Linked DNA regions of Astyanax mexicanus. The protein of the gene in region 2 binds, or shares a complex with, the protein of the main gene of each other region. Links are inferred from orthologs where the notes say so. Each region holds a gene or a part of one and is shown on either strand. Other genes may lie near its edges. The genes, in order: dek and mybbp1a.

Evidence for each region.
Region 1: mybbp1a (region 2) and dek share a complex: the UniProt entries of both Homo sapiens proteins name them as parts of the B-WICH complex. The link is inferred for Astyanax mexicanus from reciprocal best matches to the Homo sapiens genes MYBBP1A and DEK.

Annotation. Positions count from the first base shown.
Region 1 is NC_064413.1:17,883,150-17,894,951, forward strand, and holds the start of dek (protein DEK), read right to left. Parts: upstream 5,178-11,802; 5' UTR 5,067-5,177; exon of another isoform or gene 4,801-5,066; intron 3,229-4,800; 5' UTR 3,202-3,228; coding exon 3,114-3,201; intron 3,014-3,113; coding exon 2,802-3,013; intron 2,709-2,801; coding exon 2,614-2,708; intron 1,970-2,613; coding exon 1,849-1,969; intron 802-1,848; coding exon 496-801; intron 1-495. UniProt on the Homo sapiens protein: Involved in chromatin organization.
Region 2 is NC_064429.1:11,720,130-11,732,375, reverse strand, and holds the start of mybbp1a (myb-binding protein 1A-like protein), read right to left. Parts: upstream 5,366-12,246; 5' UTR 5,306-5,365; coding exon 5,135-5,305; intron 3,727-5,134; coding exon 3,631-3,726; intron 3,438-3,630; coding exon 3,354-3,437; intron 2,998-3,353; coding exon 2,923-2,997; intron 2,779-2,922; coding exon 2,671-2,778; intron 1,891-2,670; coding exon 1,700-1,890; intron 1,048-1,699; coding exon 880-1,047; intron 395-879; coding exon 277-394; intron 1-276. Other genes in the region: fgf10b (fibroblast growth factor 10b), read right to left, coding at 10,274-10,465, 10,727-10,830. UniProt on the Homo sapiens protein: May activate or repress transcription via interactions with sequence specific DNA-binding proteins. Repression may be mediated at least in part by histone deacetylase activity (HDAC activity).

The DNA.
Region 1 (11,802 bases), on a different chromosome or scaffold from region 2:
CCTCATTGGTTTGTTAGAGAACACTAGAGAACAGCCTCATACAGACCAAGGTACTCACCAGACAGAGATTAGGTTGTGGAAATGTTTTAAAGCAAGGTTAGGTTATAAAAACATATCCCAAGCTTTCAGCATCCAAGTTTGTGGTTGTAACTGACAAAAAGTGAAAAGGTTTAAGGGGCCTCAACACTTTTGCAAGGCACACCAATACTTTTGCAAGGCATCAAAACATACCCAAGAAATGGAACAAGCCTAGTTCCATAGTTTTAAGTCATATTGTACTTTGAATTTCATATATAAACAGTAAGATGGAACAGCTATAAGGTTTGATTTTATAAACTAGTCTTGTCAGAAGATAAATCACTTTTTGCTTAAATGATAAACATTATTAGATTCACGCATGTGCACTGGTTCCAATATTTAAAAAAAAAAAGTAAAAAAGTAAAAAAAAAGAAAAAAAAAGAAAGAAAAAAAAATCAATTAAAAAAAGTTTCTCACCTCTTCATCCTCACTGTCTCCTAGACCATCATCAGATTCTACGCTCTCCTCCTCCTCATCTGAGTCGCTTTCATCTCCTTTTTGTTTCCGACTGTCTGATGCTGAAGACTTTTCGGTGTCTTTATTTTTAGTGTCACCTTCATCTTCATCATCATCTTCATCATCATCCTCATCACTACTTGAAGTAACGATTTCTTTAGACTTTCCAGGGTCCATTTGCTGTTTCTTGCTCTTTGATGCAGTTTTATTCTCACGTTTGGTATCTTTTGCTGTTTTCTTCTTTCTCTTCTTTTTTAAGCTTACCGGCTGAGTAATAATAATAAAAAAAGAATAAATTTAACATTCTTTCTTAAAAGAGACACTAGGAGGAATTTTCTGGATTATTCATACTTTTAGAGAAGTAACATTTCAGATTCAAAAATCACTGCACCACTCCAATTAGGTGTAATGGGCAGAACAGAATCCCTCTTATGCCTGACCCAAGGTTAAATGAGCTGAAACCAGACTTTGTAACTTCTGTGTGAAGTGCAAGACTAGCATGCCTCTTTCGAGAACTGTGAACTGGTGATTTACCACATTGTACTTCTAACTGAACTACAAGGACTACAAAGATCGATTGGAAAAGCCGTTTCAGTTCTTTGATTATGAATTATGTATGGCAGAGGCTGTGAAGAGACTGTAGAAACAGATCTCTAAGGAAGCAAGGATGTAGAGAAGAGAGAGTAACCGAGCTAGAAACCAGAAGAGAATAAATATTGGCCTTTTTTTTATAATTGTTCGCCTGAGCTATGAGAGAATAAAGGGAAACACACACACACAGAGCTGGCCAGCTTCTTGTTGGACTTGCAAATAACGTCTTATTTTGTTATATAATAAATTCTAGCTTTTAAATTCATGATGTAGTTCAGGCTTTGATGATTACAGTATATTGCAATTATATACTACAGTTATAGTAAGATATTTGCACATGGTGTGATCCAGGTTTTGTTAGATTGGCAAACAATGCAGGTCTCCAAACTCTGACTGAAATATTAATTTTAGTAGGGGGCTGGTAAAAGCTTTTTTTTACGTTTTAAAAAGATTTTTACTGCTAACTTTTTTTTTGTTTTGTTTCACTATAATTTCATAATTGGCTTGTTTGTGTAGAAGGTTTACAGCACTACTGTGTAAACACGCTGTTTTCTCATAGTAGGAGACTTTGAAGAATTGTCTTGGCTCAGTTGTTTAGTTTTTAACCATAAGAAAACATCCTACATTTGTTTCCTTTTTTCGACTTAATATGTAAAGTGTTCTTAGTACAGGTGTCCTTTGGAAAATTAATGTGAAATAGAGAGTTTGATAGGTGTAACTCACTTTCCCGGAGTTTGTGGGGTTTACAAGAAACTGCATGATCCTATCAGCCAGAACCGCTTGACTTCCGCTCCTCTCAATATCAAGAATTTGACAAATGGACTTGAGCTGTACTTTGGGGATCCTGTAAAAAAAGCCATTCATTAATGATTATTAGACAACGTCTTAATTTAGTTTCCAGCATTCACCAATAAAACACATTAGACCAGTGGTTCTCAAACTTTTAAAGCAATGTACTACTCATGATCAAACCAAAATCTTTTAATGACCACCTACTGGGGCTACTGTGTGGACCTTACCCTCTTTACAATCTGCAAATTATTGTTTCTTATAAATGCAGTATGCATACTGAGACATGTCAGAAAGCTTGAGACAGGGGGAAATAACCGGACTATGAGAGAATGTAGTGAACTATAAAGTCTACATGGCACCTATTGTGAATCGTGGAGTTCCTCAGGGTTTAATTGTAGGGTCTATGAAACTGAAGGAACTAAAGCTTACAAGCTTACATACAGGATCTACCACATTAAACACTAAAAAACCTGTTGTGAAAATTAGATATTTTTAAAATATTTTGTTAATATTTTTGTTCATGCATTACATTTTCTGAGGTCATCTGGTGTACCACCCTAACATGCTTTGCGCACCACTAGTGGTATACGTACCACAGTTTGAGAACCACTGCCATAGACCATCTACTATCACTACTATCCTTCATACTACATATATACTATTTTTGGTTATAAAACATCATGATGGGTTCCCTACTTTGACATCTTTATCCTCTTCTTGTTGTAAGGATCACTCTCAAACTCAAACGGAAAGCCATTAAATAATCGAAGGTGTTTTCGAAGCGATGCTACCTGTAAATTTAAAAACAAAATTTTACAAAAAACATTACTGAAGTGTTAATCTTATGGTTATGAACATCTCACTCAATTTAATAAAATACTCACAGCTCCTGGCCGATCGTATATAATCTTGTGAAGAGGTTTAAGCATTGGTGCTTTGAGTCTTCCAATGGCATGATTGATACGGGGGATGTCTCCTAGTTTGTCTCCTTTGCCTATACTCTCGATTTTCAGCTTCTCTTTTGGTTTAGGCACCTGCATATCAAGTCTTTGGACTGTTTTCTTCTCCCGTTTCCCTTCCATGATTTCCACTTCATCTGCATGTAGGAAAGTAAAAGATAGTTCCAGTAAACGAACAACACATTTTGATTAGTGTTACTGGAAATATATATATTTATATTCTGAAGTATAACTTACAGATGCTCTTGGACTTCGGTTTCTCCGACTCATCTTCTTCTTCTTCTTCTTTTGTGTGATCGTCTTGTATATCCATGTCTTCCTCCATATTCAATCAAGCTCAGATTAGGTACTTCTAAGTGGGGTAAAAGATTAAAAGGGCATCAAATACATATTCTCACAAAAAAAGATTGTTTGCCTTTCACATATATTCAAACTATAATTTGATTAATTTACTGTTTTAATGCAATTTTTTTATTTATTTTATTTATGCCTCAGTGATGTTATGTTTCACATTTTCTTTAACTGAAATACAGGGAGGTTATGTGTGCACTGTGTTTAATATAAAAGCTGCATTTAAGTAAAAAAAAAAAAAGAAAAAAGAGAGAGATTCTTACTACCCATTACATTTAATTACTTTTCTTTAATCGCCCAGCCATCTCCATAGCCATTTCTGACTAGTAAAAAAAAAAAAATAATAAAAAAATCAATCAGTTACAGATACCAATTACTTCTTTTTTTTTTTAGCAGAACTGTAATTCTAACTAGTATAATGTTGTCTTATAGTCTGGTGCATAGATTAAGTGATCAAAATTCTATTGAAATACAAAGTAGCCAAGTTACATTTTGTGCTACTATTGCTAGTTGCCTGTTTTAAATGATGTGTATAATGATGTCTTTAGGTATTTGGTAATCTCCCATCGCTTAAAGTAGTTGAATTTACTAATTAGAATGGATCTCTCCATTCAGAATGATGCTCTGGATAGAGAGCTGTATCAGAATATAATGATATGGAATATAATCAAGAGGTAGAGTGATGATCACAAGCCATCAAACCAAGCTGAACTGCTTGAATTTTTGCACCAGGAGTGGCATAAAGTTGTCCAAAAGCAGGGTGTAAGTCTGGTGGAGGATAACATGCCAAGATGCATGAAAACTTGTTTTTTACACTTTACTTCTGCTGAGTTGCGTGTGAATATTAGTAGCTACTTGAACCTATTTATATAGTAGTTTTGATTTTATGTAAATCTGATTTTAGTACACATTTAACCAACGCTACAACTAGTCTACGTTTAAACTTACTCACAACTGGTGCAACCGACCCCAGGACCTTGCTGGTGTACTGGGCTTTCTGACTGCTGGTGTGTTTTTAGATTAAAACGGCTAACGAAGTTAGGTAACTTACCTAACCTACGTGTAACTTTAGTAGCTAATTAAGCTAGCGTTAGCTAACCCAACTTATGTAAATTGTTAGTTAAATTAGCTAACCTGGCGTTAGCTAGGTTAACTAGCTAGCAAGTCTAATTCACCCCAAAACTGTCCAAACACTGGCTAGCTAAGATATTTAGTTAGCTAGCGTAGCTAGCTACTATGAATACGAATTAAGTTTTAGTAAGTGTTTCTCCGGAGTCTGTAATAATCGAGACCCTTTATACTTATTTTTACTGTATTTCTCTGCCTATTAAACCCCGCAGTCTTGTTAGTTTGAGGGTATCTTCCAGTTAGCGTTAGCCGCCTGCCTCCCGAATTCAAACTAAATTGGCGCGAGTACCAGAAACACACACACAGCCCTGCCTGCTCTGAATACTGAGCTAGTTAGCTAACTCCAACGCAGACTGCCTAAACGGACCCAAAATAGCGTTTAATGTCCTCTAATGTCCGCAGAAGAGCTGTGCGTTAGAGCTTGGAGTTAAACCTAAATATTTACCGCGCGCTGGGGACCCGGGCTCCTGCTGGAGGCTCTTCCGCCGCGGTAACTCCACAGCAGCGCAGGGAGCTAACGCTAGCTAACTCGGCTACGCAGCTAGCGGACCGTCCCGCCCACAGACCGAACCAAAACAATCCCCGCAGAAGCGGAGAACCGACCAAATCCCGCACTGCCCTCACCCTCCGAGACACCCCCACCGCCTCCCTACATACACACACTAAACTACAGCACACAGCGCGTGGATTAAACAGGAGAAACACACTCACAGGATCCAAACTACGCCCGGGCTGCGTGATAACACTCCGATAAACTCCGCAACATGGCGTTTGAAAAGTGTGGGCGTGTAGTCACGTGACCCGGACCACCGTCTCACACACACACAAAAGTCGGGAGAGAGTCAGAGTAAAAAAAACTAATGTAAGAACTTCATATGACCTCATCAAGGCTCAGAGGTGGAAAAAGTACTGAAAAATTTTAATTAAATAAAAGTACCTTTACTTTGCTAAAATTCTACTTAAGTAAAAGTACCCATCTAAAAATAAAATCTAAAAAAATACTCAATTAAAAATGTACTTTGAGTAAACGTTACATAGTTACTTTTAATCATTTGATGTACAAAAATACAATAAATCATATATTAAATTGTTTTTAATGAACTATTATTTCATATAATAATTTGGATTTTTCAGGCAGTATTTGTTCAGACCACCCCATAAAACATTTTCAAGAACAAGTGGCATAGGTTTCTATGATCCAATTTTTTTCTTTACTGTAAAAAAATTATGGTCATATATGTGACTATAAACTGTATTTTTACAGTTTTTACAGGTCATTGTTATATTTTAACTTGCAATTGCTATGCTTTAACTGCTATTTAAATGTTTTTTTTTTTAACATTCAAGCGTATTGTTTAATGATAAAAATATTTACCACCACATGCTTTCACAGGTTTGCTGTGGAAGTTTTGAAAGCTGACAGCTCTGTCCGGCGGGACACATTTTGTATTGCATGAAGAAGTTATTGCCTCGTTATTCCATGCATGAGCATCTGTGTGCCGGTGCATCCGTGCCAATTATTATTATTTTTAATTCAGACAATTGTTTTTTTCCCCCAGCATTTTATTTTTTACTCAGTAACGGGGAGTTTTCCAATGTAGCAAAGTAGATTACTTGTGTCAAAATGTACTTGAGTAAAAGTAAAATGACCTATTTTAAAATCTACTGTAAAAATTACAAATTACTCATAAAATCTACTCAATTACAGTAGATTTTCCACCTCTCTCAGGTCTTCATACCTCACATACCTCTCTTACACTCTAAAAAACAGAGGTACGATATGAGTACTTTTTTGTACTCAAAGGTACACTCTTCATAATTGTACCCTTAAAGGTACAATATTGGTCTTTACAGGGTCAGATTTGTTCCCTCTGAAGTACAAAGTAATTTTTAACAGCAATAAGTACAAATTTGTACCATTTGACTAGACAAAAGGTACATTCAGTGTTCTGCATCACTGTACTAATAAACAATATATATTTTAATTGCACATTTTTTATTTGAAAGCCAGACAATTTTGCATCATCAAGTTTTTGAGCCATATTTAGTTGATGATAATGTTTATAATCTTTATAATCTTTACTGGCACAAAAATGGGTACAAAAAAGGACTTTCATGGAAAGGTACTTTTTTGTACCTCAATATAAGGTACAGCCCCAGCGACAAGCTTTGTACTCTTTTAAGTACAAATCTGTACTTACTTTTCTTAGAGTGTAGACATTTTGTAATTTTGCACTTTTAAAAAAGATCATATTCGTCAAACAAATGACAGAAAGTGTATTCTGTCTTTTTTTTCTTTTAAAAACTTAACAAAAATACAGAGCACCAGAACAGCGAAGAAAATAAAAATGTTTCCTTAAATTTTAGTGGGGTAACTTTAAACTGAGGGAACAACCCAGCTTAAACAACAGGTCTCTAGGGAGTCCTCCGAACCCACACCGGAACGTGCCGGGGCATTTTGGAGGGTCGCCAAAATGTTGCAGGGGATGGTAGGGTACTTAACATTCAGATGACCACCATGGGACATTTATAGAAAGTATTTTAAATGTCTTTTTTCGGTCCAGCCCTGTCTGGACGGAATTAGTTTCTCAGGGGGACGTCTGTGAAAAATATTTCACACTTCTACTCGGTGATAAAACTCCTGCATCTGGACTGCAGTTAAAAAAACAGGAGGACCAGTAAGTTTTTAGGCTTTCTCGGTCACATGACATCGCGTTTAATAGCTCCTCCATTTCCACTTGCTGTTGTGTTTATGTGGATCTCTATGGAAACGGGCACCCAAAGTGTAATTACGGTGCGTGGCAGTGGACAAACAGCTATTTTATTAAATGCAAGGAGACAAAACTGTGAGTCTGGACTGGACTAAAATTATCGGAGGATCACGGAGTTCAGCGAAAAACAGTTGGTAATTTAGCCTGTAATTTTCTCAGAGGACATCAGAGAGAAACAAATACATGGTCTTTCTGGACAGGAATAAAATCACAGAGGACCCACAGTAAAAGAGAAAATTACCCCAGGACCCCCTGAGAAACTAATCTTGTCCGGATAGGGCTATATATGACATCTGGAGGACTTCGTAGGGACGTTTATTGGACGCCTTTTTCGCATCTCTATAATACTAAATTATTAAATAAAAAAACCCAAAGTGATTCATTAAAGGAATGATTTAATCGACGAAATTGATAGTTAAACTGAGAAATTTCAGATTTGAGGAGCAATAAACTGAGCAAACAACATTTTAAATTGAGGGGCACAGTTAATGTAATTAACAGAATGATGCATTATAGTCATGAAACATATTTTTCAAATTAAAGGAATTTGAGAAGTTGATCAATTTAGAGCATGATTTAATAATTTAAGAAATTAATGCTTACTTTCAGTATTTATTATATTTTGTGGTTTAAAATATTTAAAGTAAGAAACACAATTTGTTAAATTGATGTAATGATTTATTAAACCAATGGAGCATTTTAATCATTGTAATTTGATACATAAAAAGTATTAATAGTTATTTTAGTTAAGCTCATTCAAAAATATATTTTTTCTTAGTGAGACAGCTAATAAACTTGACAGGATATCACAAAGCAGCATTTCTCAGAGGATTACTTGAGTCAAGCTCTGTCAGATCTTATATATCTATAAAGAACATCACGTTTAATATGTTTACATGCTATTGATGAACAGCAGGGGTCAGTGTTGTATCACTTTTGATAATCTGCTTTTTCTCCAAATCTTTTTAAATAGACGCCTGGTGCTATTGAATGTGTGTATTAATATGCGGAAATAAAACAGCTCAAGACTCATTTTAGGTAACATGGGTGATTATAAAAAGAACACATTATAAACAGTAAGTATTAATTGACTTATTAAGTATTTAAAAACCTCCTGAGTGTTAAAAAGACCCCTAGTGGAGAATCATGAACCTGAATGAGGAAAAGAGTAGACTATATGATTTAAGGAGGGAGAGAGTGAGTAAGAGAGTTTATATGTAGAAATTGCAGGATCAATTTGGAAAGATGTGCCCAAAATGTTTCTAAATCAAGGTCCAGTCAGCGGAATTGACCTCAGGTGGACTCTAGTGGTCCAGAGAAATGGGAGGCACCCCAGAGCTAAGTGTCTGAATACTTATGTCTATGTAAATTTTAGTTTTTTATTTTCAGTAAATCTGATCAAATCTAGTTTTCTGTCATTGGTGAATTAGTGCAAATTAGTGATTTTTTGCCGTGACGTAACAAAATACTTGACCCCAATCCAAGAAAAAAGAACATAAGTTTGATAATGAATTATATTTTAATGCAATTACACTAGTGTTGTTGTACTCAAGTCCGATCTGGGTCTTGAAACCAAAAATAAGGACTCAATCTTCTTTGGAATCGGTCTGAGTCTTGTCTGGCCGAGTCTGAGTCCTCTGAGGTTAAGTTCATTAGAAACTGAACCTTTTTTCTATGTTACTAAAAATCAACAAGTCATTCAAACACACTAAATCAGTTCTTTCTCTGTGTGGCTAAAATCTGCACACAGATTGGCTAATGGCAAAAAGCAAGCTACTCCAGCTTTTGTTCCAATCAATGTACACCTTTCATTCTGAATACTCCAATGTTAAGTTGAATGTACTTTTTTCACCTGCTTGCTGTAGTTATACTCTTTGGTTAATTGAATCTTTTGACCCCAGGGACCACAATTAATTTATTCCAGACATCTAGAAAGAAAGCACAAGGATAAGTAAGTGCAAACTAGAGAGATAACTAACCTTTGCAATGAGCTAGCTAACACACTAATATTTCTGGGGAGATAACTACCGTTAGCGATGAGCTAGTTAACCTTACCGACAAGTTATCTAAAATACTAATGCTACCGGGGAGATAATTACCATTAGCGACAAGCTAGCTAACCTTAGCACCAAGCTAAATGATACAATATTGTTACTGGTGAAATACCTAAAGCTAATGACAAGCTAACTTACCTTAGCAACGAGCTAGCTAACCTTAGCAATAAGCTAGCTAAAATACTAATGCTACCAGGGAGAGAACTACAATTTGTGACTGTTTTTTTACATTTTAGAACAAAAATAAATAGTATTTGAATCTGAACTTTTATTTTTAAATCTTAATCTGGTCTTGGACGTGGTCTCAGCTTTTCCCGGTCTCGGTCTTGACTCAAACTCGACTACTAAAAAGTCTTGGTCTTGACTCGGACTTTGTCTTGACTACAACACTAAGTTACACTTTTAGCTTGAGCATATATGGACCTTAAGACTTTCAGAACATATATGTACCTTGAATCTTAGAGCCTTTTATATTTTTATTTGTCGATAAACATTTGGACAATGACTTGGGCTCTGCAGGCCACCATACTGGATTTGAAATGAAACAAATAAAATGTAACTGAAGTGTAGATTTTCAGATTAAATTTAGGGGTTGAACAAAACTATCATATGTATCATATGATGTATCCTTTTAAAAGCATTTTTCTACAAAGCCTCCTCATTTCAGGGCGCAAAAGTAATTGGACACATAAACTTTACCATAAATAAAACATTTATTTTTAATACTTTGTTTAGAAACCTTTGCAGGTGATCTCTGCCAGAAGACTGGAACCCACAGACCGCAGCAATCTTAGTTTTATCTGTCCAAAGGAACACTGTTTCAGAACCAGAGGTGGAAAGTAATTAATTACATTTACTCAGTTACTGTAATTGAGTAGATTTTATGAGTAATTTGTAATTTTTTAAGTAGTTTTTAAAATAGGTAATTTTACTTTTACTCAAGTACATTTTGACACAAGTAATTTACTTTGCTACATTGGAAAACTTCCAATTACTGAGTAAAAAAAATGCTGGGGTAAAAAAAATTGTCTGAATTAAAAAAAAAAATTTGCATGGATGCACTGGTGCACGGATGCTTGCACGTGGAATAACGAGGCAATAACGTCCTCACGCAATACAAAATGTGCCCCGCCGGACAGAGCTGTCAGCTTTAAAAACTTCCACATCAAACCTGCGAAAGCATGTGGTGTAAGTACTTTTATCATTAAACAATCTGCTCAAATGTAAAAAAAAAATGTATATAGCAGTTAAAGCATAGCAATGGCAAGTTAAAAAATAATAATGAACTGTAAAACTATAAAATTACAGTTTATAGTCACCTATATGACCATAACCTTTTCATAGTAAAGAAAAAAAATGATCATAGAAACCTATGCTACTTGTTTTATGGGGTGTTCTGAACAAATGCTGCCTGATAATAATAGTTAATTAAAAACAATTTATTTTATGATTTGTTTTTACTTTTTTACATCAAATAATTAAAATTAAAAGTAACTATGTAACTTTTACTCAAAGTACATTTTAAATTGGGTACTTTTTAATTTTACTCAAGTAGGTTTTTAGATGGGTACTTTTACTTTTACTTGAGTAGAATTTTAGCAAAGTAAAGGTACTTTTACTTAATTACAATTTTTCAGTAATTTTTCCACCTCTGTTCAGAACTAGGCTGGATTCTTTATATGTTTTTATTTAAATCTGTTAAATCTGGGCTTTCTATTAATTATTTGAACCTTGTGGTGAACACCTCTATATTTGCTCTCATGGTAGACTGGGGTACTGATACACCTACTTCCTGAAGAGTGTATTTCACTTGGGTGGATGTTGTGAATGGTTTTATTCTTCAGCGTGGAAAGGATTCTGTGATCATCCATCACTGTTGTCTTTTGTAAACATTCAGGCCTTTTTAAGTTCCCGAGCTCACCACTGCGTTCTTTTTACCAAAATGTACCAAACTATTGATTTGGCCACTCCAAAAATTTCTGCTATCTCTCTGATGGAGTTCTTCTTTTTTTCAGCCTGATGATGATCTGTTTCACCTCCACTGAGAGCTCCATTGACCACATGTTGTGGGTTCAAAGTAACAGCTTCCAACATAAAATGCCACACCTACGAACAAATCAACAAACCTTTTATCTGATTAAGTTATGAGGAATTAATAAAGGGATAGACCATACAACCCATAAAATAGCTTTTGAGATAATTTGTCCTATTACTTGAGTGTCTGAAATGAGGAGGCTTAGTAGAAAAATGGTTATAATACCCAAATGCTTCATAGAATATTTTTTGTCCAACTCCTTGGAATAAACCTAAAAGTCTACTTTTCAGTTGTATCTCAGTTGTTTCATTTCAGATCCAGTGTGGTGGTTTGTAGAGCACAAATCATGAAGATTGTCTCACTGTCCAAATATTTATAGACCTAATTATGGGTCCTGGGACTTTGAGCCTATATAGGGCTTAGGACTTCAAGCTTGTATGGACTTAAGGACTTAAGCTATCCAAAAGCAGCGTGTGAGACTGGTGGAGGAGAACATGCCAAGATGCATGAGAACTGTGATTAAAAACCAGGGTTATTCCACAAAATATTGATTTTTAAACTTTTAAAACTTTATGAATATGAACTTG
Region 2 (12,246 bases):
CGAGAGAGAGTCAGCACATCTTTGCTGGTGGTAGCTGCTACAGCAGGCTGACTACTCCACGTTGGTTAATTTGGGTGTTTTCTGTAATAATTCTGTCGCTCTTTACTTTTTTATTGCTTGTAATTTTCGTTTTTTTTATTAATTTTGTAATTTGACATTCAGCGACCCGAGGCCCGGGACTGCAGCCCTTTCAGCCAATTCTTTTAATCCGGCCCTGCTCTTGTTTAAGAGAAAACCTAAAAATTTTAAAAGTACAGCAGATATTGTCTGACTCACCTGAGCAGAGAGCACATGCTCCCCATAGCGTCTCATCACTTCTCCAGACAGAACAAATTTCAGCTGGGACACAGAAAGCATCGGCAGAGCCGCACCGAACAGCCTGAACACCAGATAACTAAAAAAAAAAACAGGGGAAAAAAACAAGGAAAACAGGAGAATCAGAGACTGAATAATACTATTAATACTATTGACATATACAAGATTTTTATTATTATATTATTATATTATATACATATATATATTTTATATATCTTTATACTGACAAATTTAACATTTAACATCTAAACATATTACACATATACCAGCTGCTCATTATTAGTACAAAAAAATAAACAAACAATAATTATTTAATATTTCAGTTAGGGGTGTGCCATGTCATTCCATACGCAATATTAAAATTTTATTTACAATTTGTTGCAGTAGTGTTTTCTTGAAATAATCTTTTTAATTCAGTGTTTTGTCATATCACCAAGAGTATCATTACTGCAATAATACCATGAAGTATCGTAAACAATGTTGTAATATTTTAGGGCCATATCGCCCACCCCTATTTTATATTTATTCTTTAGATGTAGACGTCCTATACGGGTGAGTACTCACTGGCAGGGGCCTGCAGGGTCTAACAGTAATCCGCTGATTACGGCCTCCTTCCAGAAGAGCTCAAAGCTGTCCTCCCTCAGAGACATCTGCAGCAGGTCCAGAGCCACCGTCGGCAACACGTTCTCCTTCTTCACCGAGCGAGCGGCCGTCTTCAACACCTGAACCAACCTATCAGAACACAGGCAGGGTCACAAAGGATGAGTGAATAAGTGAATAAGTGAATAAGTGCAACACATCATGACAACTTCTTTTAAAGTACAGATTAAATCAATAAACATAGAAGACCTGTGTGTATGAAACTGTCAATGAAGTAGTATGTGTTTGCTGATGATTGAGTACATGCTATACAGTGTGTGTGTGTGTGTGTGTGTATAGACCCTGCAGGTCCCTGCCAGTGAGTACTCATCCGTATAGGACGTCTACAACTAGAGATTAAATATAAAATAGGGGTGGGCGATATGGCCCTAAAATATTACAATATTTTTTTATGATACTTCATGGTATTATTGCAGTAATGATATTCTTGGTGATAAGACAAAACTCTGAATTAAAACGATTTCAAGAATATACTCTACTGCAACAAATTATAAATAAAATGTTGATATTGCGTATGGTGTTATGGCACACCCCTAACTGAAATATTAAATAATTATTGATTGTTAGTTTTTCTTGTACTAATAATGAGCAGCCAGTATATGTGTAATATGTTTAGATGCTACATTTGTCAGTATCAAGATATAAAAAATATATATATATAATATAATAATATAATAATAAAAAACCTTGTATACGTGTGTGTGTGTGTGTGTGTGTGTCTCACCGTGGCAGGGTGTTTTTGTTGATGACGCTTGCAGTCCCCACCAGTTTCTTCAGTTTGGCCGGTTTGATGACTGAGGGAAACTTTTGCATGGCCACCAGGAGGAGCTCCAACTGTTCTGGGCTGCTGAGGGCAGAGGTCAAATCAGTCTGCAGTGCTTTAAACAGCACCTCCTCAAACACCTCCTCTGAAGTCTGAAACACAACACAACACAAACGCAGCTCAGAACAACAGCACGTATTACCAACTGGTGGAAATTAAAAATACTAAGGATGTGCCAATCCCATTTTCTGACCCAGAGAGATATTGATTTTTAAATGATTATTCAAACATTCAAACATACAATTTTATCACAAAAAAGTGTTTGCCCTTTATTGTAATAGCTTGTGCTTCTTAAAAGACAATAATTGCTTACAAAATATGTGTAAAAAAAAAAAAAAAAAAAAAAAAAAAAAAACTTCAATAATTTTTTTTGTAAAAAAAATTACCAGTGCAAATATCAAGTGCATGTATGTGTATGCAATGTGGCCTACCAAATGTAAAGCTTTTAATAATAGGTATTTTAATGTAAATGAAAGAATTAGTATTAGATTATAACTAGAATTAAATTAAATAATAACTATATAAGTGCTGCCAGTCAGTTAAAAATTAATTGTGTGTATCTGTGTAAACAGTTTGGAGGGGAAAAAAAAGCGTGGATGAAAGTAGCGGATGGCTCTGAATACAGCAGCATGCTTGCAGTGTGGGATTTTTTCTCCCTTAAACTATCAGTTTCCATAACCTAGGTATAAGCATATGAATAACACTCTTAATAAATTAGCACAAACTGTATTCTTTGTGTGAACGCTTTTGTGTGTATATATACATATATATATATATACACATCCAGATGAAGGCACAGAGTAGCATAACAATCTAATTTATCAAACGTGCATCAGCAGCATCACAGGCGAAAAGGCCGATCTTCAGCTAACCTCACTCAGAATGTCCACCATGGTCTTCCTGGGTAGTTCTCTCAGGTGTTCTCTGTACTGAGACAGAGTCTGGAGCAGCTTAATACACTCCAGCAGTACCTGCGGCTCCTGGAGAAATGACAGACATCAGACAACTTGACTGTGTGAAAACATTCAGTAATTCTGTGTTTTTAAAATGATTAACAAATAAATTCTACAAATAAATAAAAACAGAGTAATGTAATTACAACGTAATGAGTACGAGGAGCTTACCTTGTGCAACCGTGTGGACTGAGACAGCGCGAGCACGCCAAAAAAATTCCCAAACGCCACATTTCTGATTTGTTTCTATAAAAAGAGAGAAAGAAAGAGTGAGAAAGAAAATCCAGAAGATTTAGAAACACCAATAATCATTAATAGAGATGCATAAATACTAATACTGGCATAAGATAATCCGATACCACGCTTATTTACTCATAATCGCACAGATAAAAATTGCACATAAACAATTTTTATAAATATATGAGTTAGAAAATGAACGAGAAAATTAGAGAGAGTAAGAGAGAGAGAGAGAGAGAGAAAGAGAGAGATAGAGAGAAAGAGAGAAATAAGGAGTGAGTGGTGGAGACAGTCCCAACTTCAAAGCCCAGCAGTTCAGCAAAAGCAATTTGTCTCTTTAAATAAAAATCTAGTGTTTTTCCTACCTTATTGGCTGTTTGTAGATCATGTTTTTCTTTGATCTGATCAAGTGTGCTTTTAAGTGGAAGTTCATCAAACACACTGAGCACCTGCAGAAACACAAATCACACACCTGAGTTCTCCTACAGAACTGTACTGGAACTTTTCAGTACATCCAGCAGTTAATACAGGAACCAAACTGTTTTGAAGATTCTGTGTTTCTCCAGAAACGCAAACCCAGAAGAGGTATTTATATATTTATATTTTTTAAAAATCGTCTAATACAGGCTATTTTTTTTTTACCTGTGCCAGTGTGGCGCTGTAGCCAGTGCGAGCATGCTCTCGTGCATGAGACAGTCCATTCACCAGCCTCTTCACCACATACTGTAACTCATCCGACTGAAAAACACAACAAAAAATAAAATAAAGAACACAATACAAAACAAAAGCAATGATGTTTCAGGTAATAATTAGAATGCCACATTAACATTAAACAAACTAAGCAGGTCTCACTCACATTGGGTGCAAATAGTCTACAAATTCAACACACAGCACAGCGAAATATTACTTGATCAATCAGGAGAAATTGAGGACAGTAATGAAGTATAATTATTATTGTTCTTAAGTAAACTTTTGTGTATCTGTACTTTACTAACATATCCATGTTAGGTGATTTTTTTTTTTACTTTAACACTATTACTTCAAACTCAAATATATTACTATTTACTATCCACTACTTTGTCAGTCATTTTGGCTTGTTTGGGTATATAAAAAAGTACATTACATTATATCAAATTTATCAGATGCTTTTAGAGTATTGTATCATAAAAGAAGCACCAAGCAAGCCCACCATTCAGGGCACGTCACTTGAATCGGGGTACAGCGTATTCTTAGTTTTTACCTGGTTCTGACTTGTTGGACAAACAGCAGCTGCCCAATGCAGCAGTGAAAAATTGTGGGTGTGCCTATACTGCATAAATAATGAATATATGGAACATATAGATACAGCAATCTTTTTTAAAATCATAACTTAAGCTCATAACTTGTAAGTTACATATAAACCTTAAACCAAAATGTGCTTGTTAGTAAAAAAAAGATATTTACAATAACTTGGTTCAAACTAATGAAAACTGTTCTCGTTTAGTGTTTTGTGCTTGTGGCCTTTTTAACAGGCATCAATATGACATTTACGACATTCTATCAAAAGACTGGTGACGTTAGAGCGACATTAAAAAAGTTTCAGCTAAAACGAGCTGATTAATCAATAAGAGACTAGTAATCATAAAAATTATAACAGAATATTATAGCAAAAATAAATGATGGTATCGCTACTTTCAGAAGCAAAGCATATTTGAATTAAACTATTTCTGAATTTCTACACTTGTTAAAGTTTAAAGGGGGGCTTTACCTGTAGTATAAATACTTAACCTCGAGCACATGGTTTGTGTACTTAGTCCACCACTGCTCATCAGATTACCACAAGGTTTAAGAAAGAAAACTGAGATACAGGGAATACAGGGTGTAAAAGGCACTCCAGAAGGAAGATTAAGGTCAACAATATTATTTTGAGTGTCCACCTACAACAATTTGGACAAGAATAATCTCAGATTGCCAGCCAGCTTCTTATTCCACCAGCCTTCAATCCACCTTAAACAGTCCAGAAGTATCTGTAAGTGATCTGATGACAACAGTTGAGTAGCTAACCTAACTAACCGAACATTTAAGGTGGAACGGGCACTGATCCTGGTACTAAGCTGCTGTGATGGTTCTGAAAAGTTCTGAGGTCCAGTTCAGTGAGTGTACTAACCTCTCCACTCTTCTTCAGCTGTTCCACCAGTTTCTCGGCAGCCTGAAGTCGCGCTTCTCTCTCGGGTTTGGCGATTTCCCAGAACAGGTCCAGCAGCTCCCGGCTCCGCTTCAGAACACCGTCCGGATCAGCCACAGCGGGCCGAACCGGGCCGCTATCAGGGTCCACCATGCTCGCCTTCACTAAACTCGTGTAGAGAAAAACACGAGAGGGAAACACGTGCAGAGAGAACGGGGGAACCTCCGGTTTGACTTTCAACCATTTCAAAATAAGAGTCCCTCAAACTGTAGCATTAACTTTCACTAACATTTAAAGGTTTATTTATTTTAATTAACTTTTTTGGAGAAATTACTTAACAGTGCGCATGTAGTTTAACACTCTATGGTATAATGTTGCCCTCAGGCAACAAACCATCTTTTGCTTATTACACCATTCCATACTAAAATGTATTTGTTTATTAATTTAGTTCGTTTTAGTATACTGTACAAGGCATATCTACGTCCAATACAAAGAGACATATAAATGGTTAAAATAAAAAAAATGTAAGTTATATGTGCAAGAAAATAATATGTTAATATTATTTGAATATAATTAGAATTAGTCTCATTATAATTTATTTCATTTTCCCATTTGGGTATCGTTATTTAGATCACTTGTGTTAGGGCTATCAAGACAAATCTTTGATATAGTAATGAGATTATTGTTATTAAGGAGTTATTTACATTAATGTGAATGTGAGTCTGTATTCCAGTTACAAAAAATCCAAAAATGAAATCTTAGTTTCCTTTGTCATTTTTGTAAAAAAAAACAACTAAAAAACAAAGCATTCATTGAGGATATATGACCAGTATTTGACCAATGTCTGAATATTCTACATGTTTTTTAGTGTTTATTATTATTATTATTATTATTATTATTATTATTATTATTATTATTATTATTATTTATAATTTTATATATGTATGTATATATTTAGCAGTTAAATTTTAATGTTATGATTATTTTCTTGACTTTTTTCTTAGTTATTTGATTCAATTTAATCATTTTTAAAATTTAATGTTAGTTGTCTCTGTAATCTTTGTAAAAAAGAAAAGAAAAAAACATTTATTGAGAATATATGACCCATTTTTGTCCTATGTCTGAATATTCTACGTGTTTAGTTGTTTTTGGTTGTTATATGTTTTTTATTAATAATATTATTATTATTATTTATCATAGTATATATGTTTGTATATATTTAGTAGTTTAGTTTCAGTTTTCATGCTTATTGGGGTTTTCTTGTTTTTTTTCTTACTATTTGATTCAATTTGATCATTTAAATATATTTTATTTTACCATTAATATGGTTTTTTTATGAATCATCAGAAACTTTATAGTTAATCTGTTTTTGAAATGTTTTTTTTTTCATTTTTCATTTGTTTCTTTATCATAATTTTTCCCCTATGTCCCCAATATTTTAATATAATGATAACAAAAGAAAATCACTACCTTTTTAAAAGGGTGTAGCATCCATTAGCATCATGCTATTTTATTGTCATCATATTATTAGCATTAAATTGTGTTAAAATACTATTAAAGTAAAATAATATTGTTTATTGCAGTTAATTTGTGGTGCAGTCTCATCTCCGTTAGTGTCAGTGTTGTTTATAAGGCCTGTTTTTTGCTCTTTTCTCTTTTACAGCAGGTTTGTTGTGAGAAATGTTGAGAAACTCTGTAATCTGGGGTAGTTTTGCCCCTCATTAACCCTGATTTCAGCTTTTTCCACTGTATCCGCGGAGCTGTTGGTAAATCTGCAGATAGCGCGCAGTTATTAGCGAGTTTTCCGCTTGTGTGTGTTCCTGTAAAAATGCGGGTGTAATGGAAATAAAGAGGAATGTTTCGGTTAAAAGAGAGAGATTTGAGTTAATAAGGAAAGAAAGCGTAGTGGAAAATATCTCTGTGTGCGTGTGTGGTCCTAATTCTAAGGTTACATTTAGCTTTTTACACGAATTATCCGTTCCACCTTAAATGGTGCTACAGTTACATTCTACATTCTACAAAAGCCAGCAAAAAACTTTTTTTTGTGTTAATCACAATAAAATCTTATGTTTAGAAATATATATGTGTGTTTATTTATGTATTTATTTGTCTGTATCACCTGTTTTATTTTTTTCCTTTGCAAATTGTAATACTTATTTTTTTTAAATCTTATAAGTAATGTTATTATTATTAACCAACTCTCATTTTTAATCCTATTTTTGTTGTGTTTGCTACGTTTATAAGAACTGTTATGTTTTTCTGTTTATATTTTCTTATTATTTTATACACTAACATATCTTAATTATCTGTTTAGAAATATGTTTATTTATTTATTTTGTCTGTTAATTGTTTTAGTTTTATTCCTCTTCAAATTGTAATAGTTACATTTTGTTTAATCTTATTTTGTAGTGTTATTAATATAGTACGGTTAGTACTGTTATAATTTTCTTATTATTTTATACACTTATTTGATTATATTTTTATGTTTATATTTTAGCATTTTTCTTTTTTTTATTCTTCCTGAATATTTTTTTTAGTTTCATATTTTTCTTAAAAGTTTTTTAGTATTTTTATACACTAAGTATATTTAATACTTTAGTTATATATTTTTAGTAATTTTTATGTTTACATTTTAGCTTTTTTCTTTTTTTTTATTTTTTTGTTTATATTTAACTTTTCTATATCTTAGATTAATTTTTATATGATCATTTTAAATTAGTTCTGCTAAATTTTCAACTTTTTTAATCCATTTTTTTCTCTGTTGTTTTAAGCTATTGATTGTAAAGGCTCAGGTACATTGAATATAAAATGAGAGTAACAGTTTTAAGGTTTATTGATTCATTAATCAATTGATTTATTGATTATTACACCTTGAGATGTATAGCTAATCACACACAGTAACTGGTGATGAGTGAACAGATGTACTCAGACTCTGTACAAGAGTGAGAAAATAGCTTTTATTTGATATAAAGTACAGAAAGCTGCTTTTATTACATACACTTCATTCATTTTGCTCTTAAATAGTATACAAATAAATAATATATCAGAAAGCAGTCAAGAGCTGTGTTTACAAACGCCTCTAATGACCCTCGGGTCGTCAGGTGACCGGTTCCATTCTCCTGTTTCACAGTCTAGTAAAACGATCCAGGTCCAGGACCCAGTTCCACATCCCGGGTCCAGATACATTTACAGGGTCCAGTCATATGCTCCGACTCAAGAATCCGGTTCCAGGATTAATTTTCACGCTCTGGTTCCATTATATAGTTCCATACTCCAAGTCCAGGAACAAAAACCATGCTCTTGTTCTAGGATCCAGTTCTATTCTGTGGTTCTAGGATCCAGTTCTATTCTGTGGTTCTAGGATCCAGTTCTATTCTGTGGTTCTAGGATCCAGTTTTATGCTTTCAAGTAATAAACTTGATCTGGATCCAGTAAAATACTCCGATTCTAGGATCCAGTTTTGAGATCCAGTTCCATCCACGCTCTGGATCCATGATCCACTTCCATAATACACTTTCAGCATCAAGTTCCATGTTTTCACTCCAGTTCCAGGTACCTGTTCCACGTTCTGGTTCCATAAACTGTTTATAGATCCAGTAATGTGTCCTGATTTAGCTTCAGAAACCAGTTCCAAGATCCAATCCGCTGCCCTGAATACATGATCCAGTTCCATAATCCACTTTCTAGATCAAGCTCCAAGTTCCCGATCCAGCATCCTGCTCCATGCATAATTTCCACGACACAGTTCCGTGATTTGGGTCCAGAATACAGTAAATTATGCTGATTCCAGGTTTAGTGAGTTAATCTCAGTCTCAGTATTACAGTAATAACTAAAAACTGATCTGGATTCAGAGCCTCCAGCGTCCTGTGGAGATTCCTCTCCTCCATCTGTCAGTACGGTTCTCACGTGTTCTGAAACCATATACTGACCTCTATAGTTTCACAGGTTTCACAGTACATTAAAGCGACAGGTCAGAAAACCTGTGTACACAACTGTATTATGGGATATAGTACAAATCAGAGTACAGATTATAGTACAGACTATTTGACAGACTTGTACAGACAGTAGTGCAAACTGTAGTAGAGTAGTACAGATTTTAGCGTGAAGTTTAGTACAGAACGTAGAACAGACTATAGCACAGAAGAGAACTGAGTGTAGTACAGACTGTAGTGCAGTCTACAATATTGATTGCAGCGCACACTTAAAGCACAGACTGTAGTAAATTAGAGTACAGAAGAGTACAGATTGTAGCACAGATTAATACAGACTGTAGCACAGACCAGTACAGACTGTAGCACAGACTAGTACAGTCTGTTGTACAGACTATAGCACAGAGTGTAGCACAGACTAATACAGACTATAGCACAGACTGTAGCACAGACTATAGCACAGAAGAGTACAGATTGTAGCACAGACTAGTACAGACTATAGCACAGACTGTTGTACAGACTATAGCACAGAATGTAGCACAGACTAATCCAGACTTTACCACAGATGATAGCACAGACTGTGGCACAGACTGTAGCACAACCTATAGCACAGAAGAGTACATACTGTAGTACAGACTGTAGCACAACCTATAGAACAGAAGAGTACAGACTCTAGTGCAGACTGTAGCACAGACTAATACAGATTGTAGCACAGAGTACAGACTCTAGTACAGACTAGCACAGACTAATACAGACTGTATTAGTCTCTAGTACAGACCCAATACAGACTAGTACAGACTCTAGTATAGACTGTAGCACAGGTACACAGTTCAGGCTCTAAGATGGGCACTGCTGTTTGTTTCTGTAACAGGTATAGAGTATATTTAGGAGTTGAGCTGGGTGGTAATTTGTGTATATTTGTTTTTTTTTTGCCAGACTTTTCCTTTAAGCCCCCGAGTCTGAACAGCCTCTCGTTCTTGTCCAACTCTTTAAACTGATTTGGCAAAGTTGTGGTACTATGTGCCATTATTATATCCAAAAGAAGAATCAGGATCACACACAGGGAGCAGTGTTATCAGGTGGGTCCGGCTGCAGCAGCAGGAGGAACTGGAGGAGCTGTGTACAGATCTCAGCTCTGTAGTGTCTCGTCCTCATCGTGTCTCTGGTGCCGGTGTGTCTCGGTGTGTCCGCTCAGACGAGGATGGGCAGGAAGTGCGTGGCCGTGTTCTTCCTGCGTGTTTTCCTGCCCCTCATCGGGCGGCCGTTAGCGCTCAAACCCACAAACATGGCTCTCCTCCGGTTCCTCCACTGCGCTGATGAGTAGGTGTTGTAGCCGTTCTCCTCAATACGCTCCTTCAGCCTGCAGTTCACACCATACTCTCTCTGGAACACACACACACACACATACTGTGAGTATACTACCAACAAACTAATTAGCACAGATAAATACTATATATGCCCACATGTTTGTGAAGATAGAGCCGATAGATCAGATACAGCAGTGATTAGCAGTGATTAGCATGGTGGTGGTGCATGAGGTGTTAGTGTGTGTTGTGCTGGTACAGTAAGTGTATCCAATACAGCAGTGCTGTTGGAGTGTGTGTGTGTGTGTGTGTGTGTGTGTGTGTGTGTGATGACACTCACCTCTCCATACACTTCTCCTTTCTTACTGATGGCCAGATAATAGTTGCTGCTGAGCCCCCGGATGGCTACAACCCCCACATCCACAGACGTAATCTCCAGAATGCCTGCAACACACACACACACACATGCGCGCACACACACACACACACACACACATTAGTCCAGTCTCAGTCTGTTTCAACACATTTCAGCTTTAAACAGTCATCTGACGAGAGCTAACAGTAGGGGCTATTAGCAGACAGTGTGTGTGTGTGTGTGTGTGTGTGTGTGTGTGTGTGTCTGTAAGGGTATTAGTGTCACTCTTTGGCATGACCTTTGATCTCCAGAACACATCAGTCAGGTTGTAGTTCACACACACACACACACACACACACTCACACATGCAGTGTAGTGTGTGTGAGGCTTTGTTATCTCTTTGTGTGATAACCTCAGTGTGTGTGTGGCGTGTGTGAATATGAGGGGTTTGTCCTTTGATCACACAGACACATGCACACACACCCACACACACACACCCACACACACACACTATGGATAATTAGATTCTAGTACTGGAGAACTAAAGCTGTTGATTCACCTTGTTCAGATCAGTTCATTCACACACTCCTACCAGAACACAGAGAGGGGGCCATCACACAACTGGTCAGCATTCTGTGTGTGTGTGTGTGTGTAGAGAGGGCGTGCTGGGTTGCAGGTATCAGATGAAGCAGTAAAACTATCTGTTTCTCAGTAAACAGTGGCAGGATGAAAGGATGAGGAACAGAAGAATGGCAGGATGACAGAAAGACAGATTAGAGCAACATCAGTGAGTCATGATCAAAGAGAGAGAGAGAGAGAGAGAGAGAAAGAGAGAGATGAATGAAGGACTCTCACACTACACAGACACACACCACAGTGATTGACACAACAATTTATATTTATACATTATTAATAATATGTCCCATATGTATTATATATATACTACAGGTGGACCGAATACTTGGCAACCAAATTTGTTTGACTGAAAATGGCAAAATAATTTATATTGAAAATTGACTCATTTATTTTAAGTCACATTGCAGAGTTTTCTCTGATATTAGGACTTTTTTTCAGTAGCCGCTCATATCAAAGCGCCAGGTTACATTTTTTTACTCTCTACCCACAATAATTAAAGTAAATAAAGCACTCAGCTTACACACTTAACACACTCACTATCAGTTTACTCAGTTTACTACGTCTTCACAAACTGGCTGCTTCCAGTTGAAAGATACGAGCTGTACAGGACTAGTATAGTAGCGTTAGTAGCGTAAATTTCACTTACATGTGACTTGAGCAGCACTGCTGAGGTAAATTCGTGATTAGAATGGGACTGCTGAGGTACATATATAGCCAAAATAGCACTGCTTAGGTAAACAGCATCACTGAGGTAAATTTATGACACACTGATTGAATTAATGAAATAAGCGATTAGAATAGTGCTGCTGTGGTAAATGTATTGTGCTTTGTTGGTTTGTCTTCTGGGTTTTTAATAATGTTCAGTGCTC